2 linked regions of the Stegostoma tigrinum genome follow. The protein of the gene in region 1 purifies or fractionates together with the protein of each later gene. This does not show direct contact. Links are inferred from orthologs where the notes say so. Each region holds a gene or a part of one and is shown in the gene's direction. Other genes may lie near its edges.

Region 1 (7,310 bases):
CTCTCCCTATTTATTTCAGAACCCTCTCCCCAACCCTCTTTTCTGACGAAGGGTCTAGGCCTGAAATGTCAGCCTTCCTGCTCCTAAGACGCTGCTTGGCCTGCTGTGTTCATCCAGCTCTACACCTTGTTATCTCGGATTCTCCAGCATCTGCAGTTCCCATTATCTCTGATGGACAAGAGATAATGGGAACTGCAGATGCTGGAGAATCCAAGATAACAAAGTGTGAAGCTGGATGAACACAGCAGGCCCAGCAGCATCTCAGGAGCACAAAAGCTGACATTTCAGGCCTAGACCCTTCATCAGAGAGGGGGATGAGGAGAGGGTTCTGGAATAAATAGGGAGAGAGGGGGAGGAGACCAAAGATCAATAGAGGAGAAGATAGGTGGACAGGAGAGTATAGGTGGGGAGGGGATAGGTCAGTCCAGGGAGGGCGGACAGGTCAAGGAGGCAGGATGAGGTTAGTAGGTAGGAAATGGAGGTGCGGCTTGAGGTGGGAGGAGGGGATGAGGTTAGAGGAAGAACACGTTAGGCAGGCAGGGACGAGCTGGGCTGGTTTTGGGATGCAGTGGGGGAGGCGGAGATTTTGAAGCTTGTGAAGTCAACATTGATACCATTGGGCTGCAGGGTTCCCAAGCGGAATATGAGTTGCTGTTCCTGCAACCTTCGGGTGGCATCATTGTGGCACTGCAGGAGGCCCAGGATGGACATGTCGTCTAAGGAATGGGACAGGGAGTTAAAATGGTTTGCGACTGGGAGATGCAGTTGTTTATTGTGAACCGAGCAGAGGTGTTCTGCAAAGCGGTCCCTGAGCCTCCGCTTGGTTTCCCCAATGTAGAGAAAGCCACACCGGGTACAGTGGATACAGTATACTACATTGGTGGATGTGCAGGTGACCATCTGCTTAATATGGAAAGTCATCGTGGGGCCTGGGATAGGGGTGAGGGAGGAGGTGTGGGGACATGTGTAGCACTTCCTGCAGTTGCAGGGGAAGGTGCAGGGTGTGGTGGGGTTGGAGGGGAGTGTGGAGTGGACAAGGGAGTCACGGAGAGAGTGGTCTCTGCGGAAGGCAGACAAGGGTGGGGATGGAAAAAGGACTTGGGTGGTGGGGTCGGATTGTAGATGGCGGAAGTGTCGGAGGATGATGCGTTGTATCCGGAGGTTGCTGGGGTGGTATTAGAGGACGAGGGGGATTTTCTGAGGGCAGTTATTGCGGGGGCAGGGTGTGACGGATGTGTTGCGGGAAATGTGGGAGACACGGTCAAGCTTGTACTCGACCACTGCGGTGGGGATGTTGCGGTCCTTGAAGAATGGGGCCATCTGGGATGTGCGGGAGTGGAATGCCACATCTTGGGAGCAGTTGCGGTGGAAGCAAAGGAATTGGGAAATGGGGGATGGAATTTTTGCAGGGGTGTGGGTGGAAGGAGGTGTATTCTAGGTAGCTGTGGGAGTCGGTGGGCTTGAAATGGACATCAGTTTCTAGCTGGTTACCTGAGATGGAGACAGAGAGGTCCAGGAAGGTGAGGGATGTGTTGGAGATGGCCCAGGTGAACTGGAGGTTGGGGTGGAAGGTGTTGGTGAAGTGGATGAACTGTTCGAGCTCCTCTTGGGAGCAAGAGGTGGTGCCGATACAGTCATCAATGTAATGGAGGAAGAGGTGGTGTTTGGGGCCAGTGTAGGTGCGGAAGAGGGACTGTTCCACGTAACCTACAAAGAGGCAGGCATAGCTTGGGCCCATGCAGGTACCCTTGGCCAACCCCTTTGTCTGTAGGAAGTGGGAAGAATTGAAAGAGAAGTTGTTGAGGGTGAGGACGTGTTTGGCTAGGCGGATGAGGGTGTTGGTGGAGGGGGACTGGTCGGGCCTGCAGGACAGGAAGAAGCGGAGGGCCTTCAGGCCATCTGCATGAGGAATGCAGGTGTATAGGGACTGGACGTCCATGGTGAAAATGAGGTGTTGGGTGCCAGGGAATTGGAAGTTCTGGAGGAGGTGGAGGGCATGGGTGGTGTCACGGATGTAGGTGGGGAGTTCCTGGACCAAGGGGAAGAAAATGGAGTCCAGATAGGTGGAGATGAGTTCAGTGGGGCAGGAGCAGGCGGAGACAATAGGTCGGCCAGGGCAGGCGGGTTTGTGGATTTTGGGAAGGAGAGAGAAACGGGCAGTGCGGCGTCGGGGGACAATGAGGTTGGAGGCTGTGGGTGGGAGGTCTCCCTTGTCCGCTCCACACTTCCCGTCCAACCCCATCACACCCGGCACCTTCCCCTGCAACCGCAGGAAGAGCTACACTTGCCCCCACACCTCCTCCCTCACCCCCATCCCAGGCCCCAAGATGACTTTCCACATTAAGCAGATGGTCACCTGCACATCTGCCAATGCGGTATACTGTATCCACTGTACCCGGTGTGGCTTCCTCTACATTGGGGAAACCAAGCGGAGGTTTGGGGGCTGCTTTGCAGAACACCTCCGCTCAGTTCGCAATAAACAACTGCACCTCCCAGTCGCAAACCATTTCCACTCCCCCTCCCATTCCTTAGACGACATGTCCATCATGGGCCTCCTGCAGTGCCACAATGATGCCACCCGAAGGTTGCAGGAACAGCAACTCATATTCCACTTGGGAACCCTGCAGCCCAATGGTATCAACGTGGACTTCACCAGCTTCAAAATCTCCCCTTCCACCACTGCATCCCAAAACCAGCCCAGTTCGTCCCCTCCCCCCACTGCATCCCTAAACCAGCCCAGCTCTTCCCCTCCACCCACTGCATCCCAAAACCAGTCCAACCTGTCTCTGCCTCCCTAACCTGTTCTTCCTCTCACCCATCCCTTCCTCCCACCCCAAGCCGCACCCCCAGCTACCTACTAACCTCATCCCACCTCCTTGACCTGTCCGTCTTCCCTGGACTGACCTATCCCCTCCCTACCTCCCCACCTACACTCACTCCACCTATCTTCTTTACTCTCCATCTTCGGTCCGCCTCCCCCTCTCTCCCTATTTATTCCAGTTCCCTCCCCCCATCCCCCTCTCTGATGAAGGGTCTAGGCCTGAAACGTCAGCTTTTGTGCTCCTGAGATGCTGCTGGGCCTGCTGTGTTCATCCAGCCTCACATTTTATTACCTCTGTTGGACAATACTGTTTTATGATAACAATAATAATGAACTATAATAATGGACAATAATGATTTACCATCCTGATTGACTGTTACAATAATAGTCTACTCCAATAATAACTATAATGATGGACGATACTGATGAATTGTATTCATACACGATAATCGTGAACGATGATGCGCTGGCGGACGCTGACCCTCACGCTCAACTCGACGCCCCGCCTATAACGGTGTGGGTCAGTAACGTCACGGCGCGGGGATGCGTGTGACGTCACATGTACACGTCGCCGATCCGCGGCCGGGGAAAATGGCGTCGCGAGAGTGCTAGAGACTGCAGCGGGGCCCAGTGTGTACACCTTATCGTGTATTCACCACCCTACAGCGTGTACAGGACCCTGTATACAGCCCCCTGAGTACAGGTGAGAGGGATAGAGACTGCAGCGGGGCCCAGTGTGTACACCTTATCGTGTATTCACCACCCTACAGCGTGTACAGCACCCTGTATACAGCCCCCTGAGTACAGGTGAGAGGGATAGAGACTGCAGCGGGGCCCAGTGTGTACATCTTATCGTGTATTCACCACCCTACAGCGTGTACAGGACCCTGTATACAGCACCCAGAGTACAGGTGAGAGGGATAGAGACTGCAGCGGGGCCCAGTGTGTACATCTTATCGTGTATTCACCACCCTACAGCGTGTACAGGACCCTGTATACAGCCCCCTGAGTACAGGTGAGAGGGATAGAGACTGCAGCGGGGCCCAGTGTGTACATCTTATCGTGTATTCACCACCCTACAGCGTGTACAGGACCCTATATACAGCACCCAGAGTACAGGTGAGAGGGATAGAGACTGTAGCGGGGCCCAGTGTGTACATCTTATTGTGTATTCACCACCCTACAGCGTGTACAGGACCCTGTATACAGCCCCCTGAGTACAGGTGAGAGGGATAGAGACTGCAGCGGGGCCCAGTGTGTACACCTTATCGTGTATTCACCACCCTACAGCGTGTACAGGACCCTGTATACAGCCCCCTGAGTACAGGTGAGAGGGATAGAGACTGCAGCGGGGCCCAGTGTGTACACCTTATTGTGTATAAACCACCCTACAGTGTGTACAGGACCCTGTATACAGCACCCTGAGTACAGGTGAGAGGGATAGAGACTGCAGCGGGGCCCAGCGTGTACATCTTATCGTGTATAAACCACCCTACAGTGTGTACAGGACCCTGTATACAGCACCCAGAGTACAGGTGAGAGGGATAGAGACTGCAGCGGGGCCCAGTGTGTACACTTTATTGTGTATACACCACCCTGCAGTGTATACAGGACCCTGTATACAGCACCCAGAGTACAGGTAAGCGGGATAGAGACTGCAGTGGGGCCCAGTGTGTACATCTTATAGTATACGTTCAGTGCACAGGACTACCGGAGCTCGTATGCAGGTGAGATGATAGAGGGATAGAGGCTTTGTCTCACACCAGTATGTATGTGTTATTTAATTGAAGGGAGAAAGACAGTGATAGATGGGAAAAGGAGGCGGTGAAAGTGTAAAGACTTCACTTCAGAGCAGTATAGAATAAGACCCTGTGTACATCCTGTACAGCAGCCAGGACCTGGACAAATGAAGGCGAGACAACGGAAGAGAGGTAGCAACCATGTCACTGAGCCTAATAGACAGGACCCAGACACCTTTTGAGGGCAGTTTGATGGTGTTCTGTTTGTGTTGATAGTGGGAAGCAGAGACAGAGAATTACAGGGCTCGTGTGTCAGAGCTCAGTGTACAGCATAGAGGTGAAAAGGAAAGGAGTGAGACATCCAGAGAACAGCTTACAGAGAGGTGAAGTTGAGCCCGGTGCTATGACAGATGAGAGAAATAAATACACAGATATTCCACAGACCCCAGCTCAGACCATACAGGGCACAGGGAGAGTGAAACAGCAGAGATACCCAGAGGATGGAAGGCGAACAGTCGCAACACATCTTAAAAGGTGATGAGGGAGGGGAGGCAAGTGGAAAAAGATATTTGTGAAGGAAGGTGAGATAATGTAGGGAGGAGAGAGACAGCCTACAGGAGGAGGGTGGTGGTGTGAGAAGACGCATAAGGATGGCAGTGGGAATAAAGTGGAGAGGAAAAGGCTGGGAAGGAGTCAACCCAAAGGAGGAGAGGAGTTGCGGCTTACCCCAACGATACTGGATTTGATTTTTTTAAAAAAAGGACAGAGAACTTTTTAAAAAATGCATTCATGGAATGAGGAAGTTGCTGGCTAGGTGGCATTTATTGCCCACCCGTAATTGCCCAGAGGGCAGGTGACAGTCAACCACATTGCTGTGGGTTTGGAGTCACATGTAGACCAGACCAGGAAAGGATGGCAGTTTCCTTCCCTAAAGGATATTAGTGAACCAGGTTTGGGTGAAGGAGGGGTTTACGATTGTGAGACAGGGAGGAGAGGAGCTTAGGAAAATGAGTTAGTAGAAGAAGGTGGCTGCCAACTGCATTTTTGGCACAGAAATACCATTTGTGGGCCTCTATTGTTTCTTTGTGGGCAACTTATACAGGATGTTAGTGAGGCTGCATCTAGAGAACTACCCACAGTTTTGGTCCCAATATTTATAAGATGATATACTGTAATTGGAAGCAATTCAAATGAGATTTACTGGGCTCATTCCTGGCTTAAAGAGGCTGACTTGTCAAGAAGGTGTAAACAAGTTACACCTTTCTTCATTAGAGTTTAGAAGAATGAGGGATGATCTTATTGAAACTTACAAGATTCTGAGGGGCAAGACAGGATAGACATTGAGAAGATGTTTTTATGAGTGAGTGAACCTCACTAGGGATTTTGGTACAGAATAATGGGTATTCATTTCAAACTGAAATGCAAACGATTTACTTCTCTGAATATAGTAAATGTCTGGGGAATTTTCTGCTGCAGGGAGTTGTGAAGCCTCAATTGCTCAAAATATTTGAACAGTAGGTATGTAGATTTTAGATGTATTGCAGATTGGAGAGCAATGAAAGCAGTGAGCTGATATGAAAGCAGAGTTGAGGCCTGGAACAGCCATTATCGTATTGAATGCAGGATCAGGCTTGTTTGAATGGTTTACTCCTGCTTCTATTTCTTATAGTTGTTAGTTTCGGTAGTTTGTGGCTCTGGAGACTGAATAGTGCAGTATTTAAGTGTGGCATCTGCCCTCTAGCAGCTTGTCCACATGTTAAATTGGTAATCTGCATTGAATTTTTGTTGGAGCAGGTCACTGTAGGTTTGCCCAGTGCTTGTGCCATTTCATTCCAGAGGGTTGTTTGGAAGCAGAAATGTTTCTTTTTTAATTTTAGCATTGCTACAACTGGCACCAATGCTAATGAAATGAAACTGTTGACAGTACGTTGCCTGTTTCACAGCTAGTCCCACGTAGACTGTTCATCTAAAGAAAGGAAGATGAACATTTCTGAAACACTCAGGATGTCACAAAGCACTTTTTGGATAGCAAAGAACTTTTTGAGGTGTTGTCACTGTTTTAGGAACCAAAGCAGCTAGCTTACACACGGTAAGGTGATTGTTTTCAGTGGCTCACCAGAGCAATCCAGTCTGAAGAGAATTGGCCAAACGGCCAGAGGGGAGGTGAGCAGCTACTTATTATGCGGAAAGCTGTGCTTGAACAGGTAGTGGATGCAGGTTGAACAATAACTTTTGAAAGGGAATTGGATAAATATCTGAAAAAGAGAAGTTTGTGGAGGTGGAGTTGATCTAGTTTGTGGAGGTGGAGTTGATCTAGTTGGATAACTCTTTCAAAGATCCAGCATTCAGGCCTGAATGGCATCCTGTTATCTGAGCTTTCTGCCTGAGGCATGAAGACACCATTGTTCGTTAAAGTTTGATGAGGGAATCTTTGCAGAGCATTAGGGTCAGTATGAGAGTTCAGTCAGGATCAGACTGGCGAAATATCTAAGATTTCTTCTGTTTCCTGATGCCATCCTGTAGAGCTGAGAGAAAATGTTTTGACTTGAGACTGGAACAGATTTATTTCAAAACCAGTCTCCTGTGCTATATTAATTTATCTTGGTTTTAAGTGTAACTAATGTCAGTTAGTTAGATGACGACAAAGCCAAGGAATACAAACTGAGGAAAACCCTCCAGTCGGCGTTCACCTCACTTCAGCTCTCAAATTACTCATTACTGGCTTCCAAATTTTTTTTTAACATTGTTTT
Region 2 (7,232 bases), on another chromosome or scaffold:
AAATCCCACATTATCTTTCAAAGGGTTCACAAGATGTGTTGCTAGCAAGTGCAGTATTTATTGAACATCTCTAATTGTTCTTGACGAAGACTGTGTTAGCTCAAACTCTTCCTGATATTTACGAAGTATAATTGCTAAGTATTTGTGGTGGGATTGAACATTGCCGGGGGTAAGCACTGTTGAGCGTTTGAGCATTGTCAGTAATGGGAGTGGGCCATTGCCAGAGTGTGGTAGTAATATTGCAAAGGCCGCTGAGCAGGATGAACCATATCATGTGTATGATCATTGGTGGAAGTGCAGGCAACTGGGGACTGTTGGGATTGGGGTGTGCCTTTGTTAGGAGGGTAGATAAGGGGTGTGAACATTATAGGGTGCAGTAGTGGTGAACTTTGTTAAGGGGTGTGGGAGTTGTGCTGGGTAACTGATGAGGAGGTGTGAGCAATGTCAGGTAGAGTAGAATCTTAGAATCTCTACAGTGTGGAAGCAGGCCATTCAGCCCATCAAGTCCACACTGGCCCTCCAAACATCATCCCACCCAAACCCACCACATCCCCATAACCCTACATTTCCCATGGCTAATCCACCTAGTCTGTACATCCCTGGTCACTGTAGTATAGTAGGACTGTGGGAGGAAACTGGAGCACCCAGAGGAAACCCATGCATACGCGAGAAGAATGTGCAAACTCCACACAGAGAGTCACCTGAGGTTGGAATTGAACCCTGGTCCCTGGTGCTGTGAGGCAACAGTGCTAACCACTGAGCCACCGTGCCAGCCCAAATCAAAATAACATGATACTGATTGATAATTCCTTTAACAAATTTCTGCAAAAATCTCTGAAGATGAATCATGCACAGTGTTGTAAGACAAAATAATATGGACTTTTAAAAAAACATACAACTTACCCTTGCCAAATTGAAGAATCACCACTATGCAGCAATTCATCTTTTTCATAATTGTCTATGGCAAGCTTGCAGGCTAGGTTTGCTTTTTGCCAAGCTGTTTGGTTGCTTAACATTTGCTTGCAGTTGGTTTTGTCAGGGATTCAGGAATAAACATTGTCAGTTGTGTAAAATTGCGTGCATTGTTGGGTATAGAAAATGCTGGTGTGTTTGAATGTTAATGGAATGGGATCCGAGTATTGCTAGATGTGGAGCAGAAAGTAGTGCATTGGTGTGAGCAGTGAGAGGGACAGGGATCCTGTGACTTGTCAGGGGTGCAGTAGATTGAGCATTGTTGTGGGAGGCACAGCATGGGTGAGCATTTTCAGTGGATTTGGGGACCACAGGATTTTTTTAGGCCTCCCCTAAACAGTTCCTTCCATCAATCACCAAATTATACCTGAAATTAATAGAAAGGTGGGTAAATATCTGAGTATGTATAAGGCTGAATGTTCATTGTGAGACCCCATCAGAAATGTCTCAATGTAATTCTTCCCATTGGAAATTTGAATTTCCTGAGTAAATGCTCCATATTTACATTTTAGCATTCTCTTTTACCTTTAGAAAAACTGGATCTGTGTTCAATCTAACTGAGGTAATACTAACTTTTGGCTATGTAAAATGAGGGATATTGTATTGTTCATCTATTATGCACACCATCCAATTTTCCTTTCCATTATAGTAATGGGAGTGTGGAATGAGCAGCAATTGGATATAGCTCTTTGTCTTGTGGTACAGCAGGTAAGATCCCTGCTTCAAAGCTAGAACTCCAGGTTTGAGTCTAATTGGCCTACTGTTTGCAGTTTTCCACCTCCCTCCTTTCTTGCACACTGCTGTCACACTTGCTGCTTTTGAAATTGTTGTGAGCTTTCTAGAATCTAGGGAAATCCTACCTGGAATCCAGCAAATATATGGAAAGAACTCTGAAACAGAAAAAGAAGCAAACAAGATTTCTTACCCCTCACTCTAATCTGGTCTAAAGATGTTTAATGTTGAGAGCAAACAAGACATCTTTGAAGGATAATGAAAAGTAAGGGAAGGTAAGGGGTACAATTAAAAAGGAAAACTTTCATTTTGATAGTCTTTCACACCCCTAGACTATCACTAAACATTTTACAATAAATTTAAATAATTTTGTAATCATTGTTGTAATTTCAGAAGTAGGGAATGTATGAAAGAATCCTAATGATAGAGCTGCTGACCCCCTTCTAAGAAACTTCAGCAGGGAGAAAAAGATAAGTTTGAAGGTGACTACAGCTGACAGGAGAGAGAACATAGAATTGAATGGGTATCTCAGCAATGAAGAGATGGGTAGTGATGCAACAAGTGGTTGGTGGGAAAGACAGTCACCTGAGAATGTTAATGAATAGGCAAAATGTTAGGGGTCACGATACCAAATAGATGAGACTAAATATGATTGTTGGGGTAAGGAAACTTCTCATATTTATTCTAAAACTTTTATTAGCAATGTTAAAAAAGTTGATAGTTATTATCTACCTCAGTTGCTTTTCAGAACGAGCCATTATTTATGCCATTGCATGAAATGGTACAAGTATTCATAAACTACAGTTGGGTGTGGATTTCCAAGATTTTGAAAATGCTAATGAGGAATATTATTTCATAGAACCTCTACAGTGTAGAAACAGGCCCTTTGGACCAACAACCCTCAGAGCATCCCACCCAGATCCAACCCCCTCTCACCCAACTAATCTAAACATCCCTGAACATTACAGGCAATTTAGCATGGCCAATACACCTCGCCTGCACATCTTTGAACTGCAGGAAGAAACTGGTGCACTCGGAGGAAATCCACACAGAGAGCTGCCTAAGGATGGAATTGAACTAGCATCCCTGGCATTGTGAGGCAGCAGTACTAACCACTGAGCCACCATGCCACCCATTAAGGATGTTGAATCTGGGAGCAAAACTCAACATGATAACGCTCCTGCACACTTTGTCCTTTCCAATGATGGAAACTGAATTTTGAAAATGCTGGCAAAGAAGCTGTGGTGACTTGTCGCAGTGTATTCTTTGGGTAGTAAATACTGAAGTAATAATGTACTGCTGGTGAAGTTAGTAGAGGCTTAAATATGTGTAGATTGCCAATCAGACTGCTCTGTTGAGTTATTTGAGTGTGACTGCAGTTGCACCATCCAGACAGTAGAGAATATTTCATCATCCTCATGACTTCTGTTGGTGATGCTTTGAGAAAAGCTGAAGTGTGTCACTTGATGCAGGACAGCCAGTTTCTGTTCTGAAACTCCATTTTCTCTCCACAGATGCCTGAGCTGCTGAGAATTTCCAGAATTTTATTTCAGTGCCACCACCCCTTTCCCACCCCTCATCAATCTTCTGACCATTTACGTGGCCGTTCCTTTTAGTTTCATCAATAGTTCCCAGGTTTTTGATGTTCAGGTGATAATTTTGTTATGAAGATTAATTTCTATTACAAACAAACCCTACTGTTTCTATGCAAACACTTGAACTGTCCCCAGAAGCCTCTGTAGATCAGGTAGCAGGAACAAGTGAGATTCTGAGGTAGCATGCCAAACATCATCACCATATTAACATTGTCACAACTGAGTTGAGGTGATCATGAAGCCAGAATGCCAGACACTTGCTTCCCAACATGATTATTCTACGCGAGCTTTAGTCTATATAGCGGTCTCCTGGTAGTGACTGCAAGTGATACAATGCCACACAGGTTTCACTTGGAAATTTGGATATTGACCCGAATCTAGCAGCTTACGTTTGATCATTGCATGTTATGGGGCAGCCAAAGGGCCAGTCGACCCAAAACATTATCCCTACTTTCTCTCCACAGATGCTGCCAGACCTGCTGAGCTCTTCCAGCAATTTCTGTTTTTGTTTCAAACACAGACGGGTGTGGCCTACTTCGAAAACTTCTTATCCCGTTTTATCACCTTTATTCCCATCAGCACCTTAAACAACATAAGACGATCGAAATAAACAGCTTCACTCTCCAAAATGGATACAGTCACTGAAATTCACGTGATCTCGATCTTGCCCCTTCCTAGACCCGTGGTGACGTGTTAAACCAGGCGCATGCTGAGCTGTACTTCCTGTCGTAGACGTCAAGAAAGGAAATGACGTAAGGCCGCGGAGCAGGAACTGGGTGGAGGAGGACGTGTTGTCAGGATCGGGATTATCGAGTGAAGGAGTCGCTCACTTTCGGGGCTTTTCGCGGACTAGGTGATCTCCTTGTGATCGTTTAGCACGCAGTGTCACTGGACATCAGTCCCGGTGTTCTGCTGATTAACGCTCTGCAAGTCACTGGCCGCAGTCATACTCAGGCTGATGTATAACTGTGAGGGATGGTGGTGCTGCTGCTGGTAATAGGTGTCATTGGTTTGGGTTCGTTGACACTGTCTTAATCGGCAGGTATATACTGGGGGAATTGCTAGAACTGTGAGTGATGGTGAGAAAACGGGTTTCATTGGAATTGATCTTTGGCAGAAGGTCGGGTTTCTAAGAGTCGTAGAGTTGTACAACACGGATACAGACCTTTGGGCTCGATTCGTCCATGTCGATTAGATACTCTAAATTTATCTAGTCCCACTTGCCAGCATTTGGCGCATATCCATCTAATCCCTTCCTATTCATGTAGCCATCCTGATGTCTTTTTAATATTGCAATTGTACTAGCCACCACTTCTTGTGGCAGTTCATTCCATACACACACCATTCTCTGCATGAAAAAGTTGCCCTTCAGGTCCCTTTTAAATCTTTCTTCTCTCGCTTTAAACCTATACCCCCCCTAGTCCTTGCTTGGTTATTTATGATTTTGACATCCTTAGGATTGTAACAGACTGCTAATGGATTTTGAATGTGAGCTTGTCTTCTTTCTCAGCTTCTTCTCCATACAAAATTAACTGTCTTAAAATTTGTTTCTCACACTTGTGACTGTATAACGATGTATAACTGCAACTGTATAAACTGCAGTTAAATTACAGTTGAGAGACAACAATTAACAACATCCATTTAAATGCACCCATAAACTTTGTAAAATATTTCAGGGTCATTCACAGAGGTGTTCAACATAGAAAATTTCATTCTTAACTTAGCCAACAAGTCCCCTAAATCTGCTGGCTGAATTCTGTGATCTTAAAATAAGTGTATGTGTAAGTTGTAATCTTGCAAAATTTCCTGCAAACGTAGCATCTGTATTCAAGAGGAAAGCACAAAGCAAGAAACTATAGAACAGTTATCCTTATGTCTATCACTGGAAAAATGCCAAAATTCATCATTAAAGAATTCACAGCAAGAAGTTTAGAAAACTAAAATACAATCAAGTTGAATCAACATGGATTCAGGAAAAATAAATTGTTTGAAAAGAATTAGAATTCTTTAACAAACTTAATACGCAGGTAGATAGAAAGGAATCTGAAGATGTAGTGTATTGTAATATTTGCAAAGATCATTCAATAAGTGGCACAGAACTCATAATAATGAAAGGAAAGTACTGCAGTTACCAAAAGTCTGAAATAAAAAGAGAAAATGCTGGAGAAACTGGCAGCATTTGTGGAGAGAGAAATGGGGTTCACATTTACAGTCTGATCTGTTTCTTCAAAACAGTTTACAAGACATTAGCATGCATGTACAGCAAGTAGGTGAGGAAGGTAAATGGACTGTTGGCCTTTGTGGCAAGGGAGTGGAACATAAAAGTCGGGAAATTTTGTCACATTTACATGTGGCGTTGGTGAGACAATACCATCCACAGTTTTTTTTTCTGTCTTTATTTCAGGAGAGAGATCCTTGAATTGGAAGCCATACAAAAGATTCACTAGGCTGATTCATGGTATGAATGGATTTTGTCTTCAGTTGGGTGTACAGTCTTTGGAGTTGAGAAAAATGAGAGGTGATCTTGTTAAAACAAAAGATTCAGAGGATGTCTTAAGAATGTAGATATTGGGTGATGTTTCACTTCATGAGCAAATCTAGAACATACCTAAAATAAGTACCCTCCTGATTAAGACAGATATTTCTTCTGGGTATGATCAATTTTCGGAATTCAGTACTCTGAGAACATGGGGGCTAGCTCTGCAGAACATAATTAATTTGAGGACAGATTTTGATTTACAAGTAAATCCAGGATTATGGGGACTGACAGTAAAGTGGAGTTAAACTACCAACAGCAATTATCATCTTGAATGTTGGAGCAGGTTGAAGGAACTAAGTTGCCTGCTCATATTCTTTAGAACATGAATGTATCTTTTGAACAAACCACTATAAGAGGATCAAGCTTTTGTTTGACATTGATTACTGGACTACCCAAGTAGGTCTTCTGTTATGTGGCCATCCCACATTGGTTAAACTTTGTACTATGAACCTCTCTGTGCTTTGCGTGTTTACTTTTTTCATAAGTTTCTGATGTTTTGTGCTGCCATTGAATTTTCATGACTCTTCTGAGGCATTGTTGATGGAATTACTTCGGTTTTCTGATGCAGTAACTAAGTGTTGCAGCTATAACACGTACATAGGTAAGGATCTATATTTTATTTGTTGGCTTTCAGTTTTTTTGCTGGTTTACTAACACTAATCCCATAGGCCACACAGAACATTTCAAAAGCGTTCATGACTCAAGACAATCTGATTCACCTCAGTACTTTAGTTAGCTATCTGCTATAAGCAAGGTGTACTGTTGGTTATATTGGATCACACCCTAGTTGTCCACAATTCATTTCATTTATAGATATTTTCCAATCAGCCTGTTCACAGATGTTATTGTACACCTCTGGGTCAGATGGGATTTGAACTCCAATATCTTTGTTCAGAGGTAGAGACACAGGAGCCCCATATGACTCATCTATATGCATGTTTAAATTGGTGAGGGTACAATACTTAATGTGAATATTGATTTTTCAAGCGTTTAGCAAAATATCGCATATACCACTTGTTAGTAAAATTTGGAATAGTTAGAGGAGATGGTGTCACAATCAAAATTGGCAATTACAGAAAACAGTGAATGGTTGTTTGTCAATTTAAAGGATTCTACAATGGTTCCCCAGTGAGAAATAAAGACTGTAAGAGAAGGGTGTACCATTAGTGCCAACAAAGAAAGTTGAAAATATTACATTGAAATAAAAAGATAAGTAGCAGGCCAGAAGTGTCTGAAGATTATGAACAGTGTTAAAGAATTACTAAAAAGAAATAAGAGGAGAAATTAGAATATAATAGCAAGCTAGCTAGAATTATAAAAACAGATATTAAGAGTTTCTTCAGGTATTTAAAAAGCAATAAGAAGTAAAGGGAACATTGGTCCTCTATACAGGG

Evidence for each region. The genes of interacting proteins can lie anywhere in the genome.
Region 2: the proteins of sec16a (region 1) and protein transport protein Sec23A purify together in Homo sapiens (affinity purification with mass spectrometry; 3 studies listed by BioGRID and IntAct, with this or other methods). This does not show direct contact. The link is inferred for Stegostoma tigrinum from reciprocal best matches to the Homo sapiens genes SEC16A and SEC23B.

The regions. Positions count from the first base shown.
Region 1 is NC_081382.1:42,911,197-42,918,506, reverse strand, and holds the start of sec16a (protein transport protein Sec16A), read left to right. Parts: upstream 1-4,046; 5' UTR 4,047-4,148; intron 4,149-4,182; exon of another isoform or gene 4,183-4,252; intron 4,253-7,310. UniProt on the Homo sapiens protein: Acts as a molecular scaffold that plays a key role in the organization of the endoplasmic reticulum exit sites (ERES), also known as transitional endoplasmic reticulum (tER).
Region 2 is NC_081362.1:40,470,805-40,478,036, forward strand, and holds the start of protein transport protein Sec23A, read left to right. Parts: upstream 1-4,037; 5' UTR 4,038-4,152; intron 4,153-4,158; exon of another isoform or gene 4,159-4,341; intron 4,342-5,703; 5' UTR 5,704-5,754; coding exon 5,755-5,757; intron 5,758-7,232. UniProt on the Homo sapiens protein: Component of the coat protein complex II (COPII) which promotes the formation of transport vesicles from the endoplasmic reticulum (ER).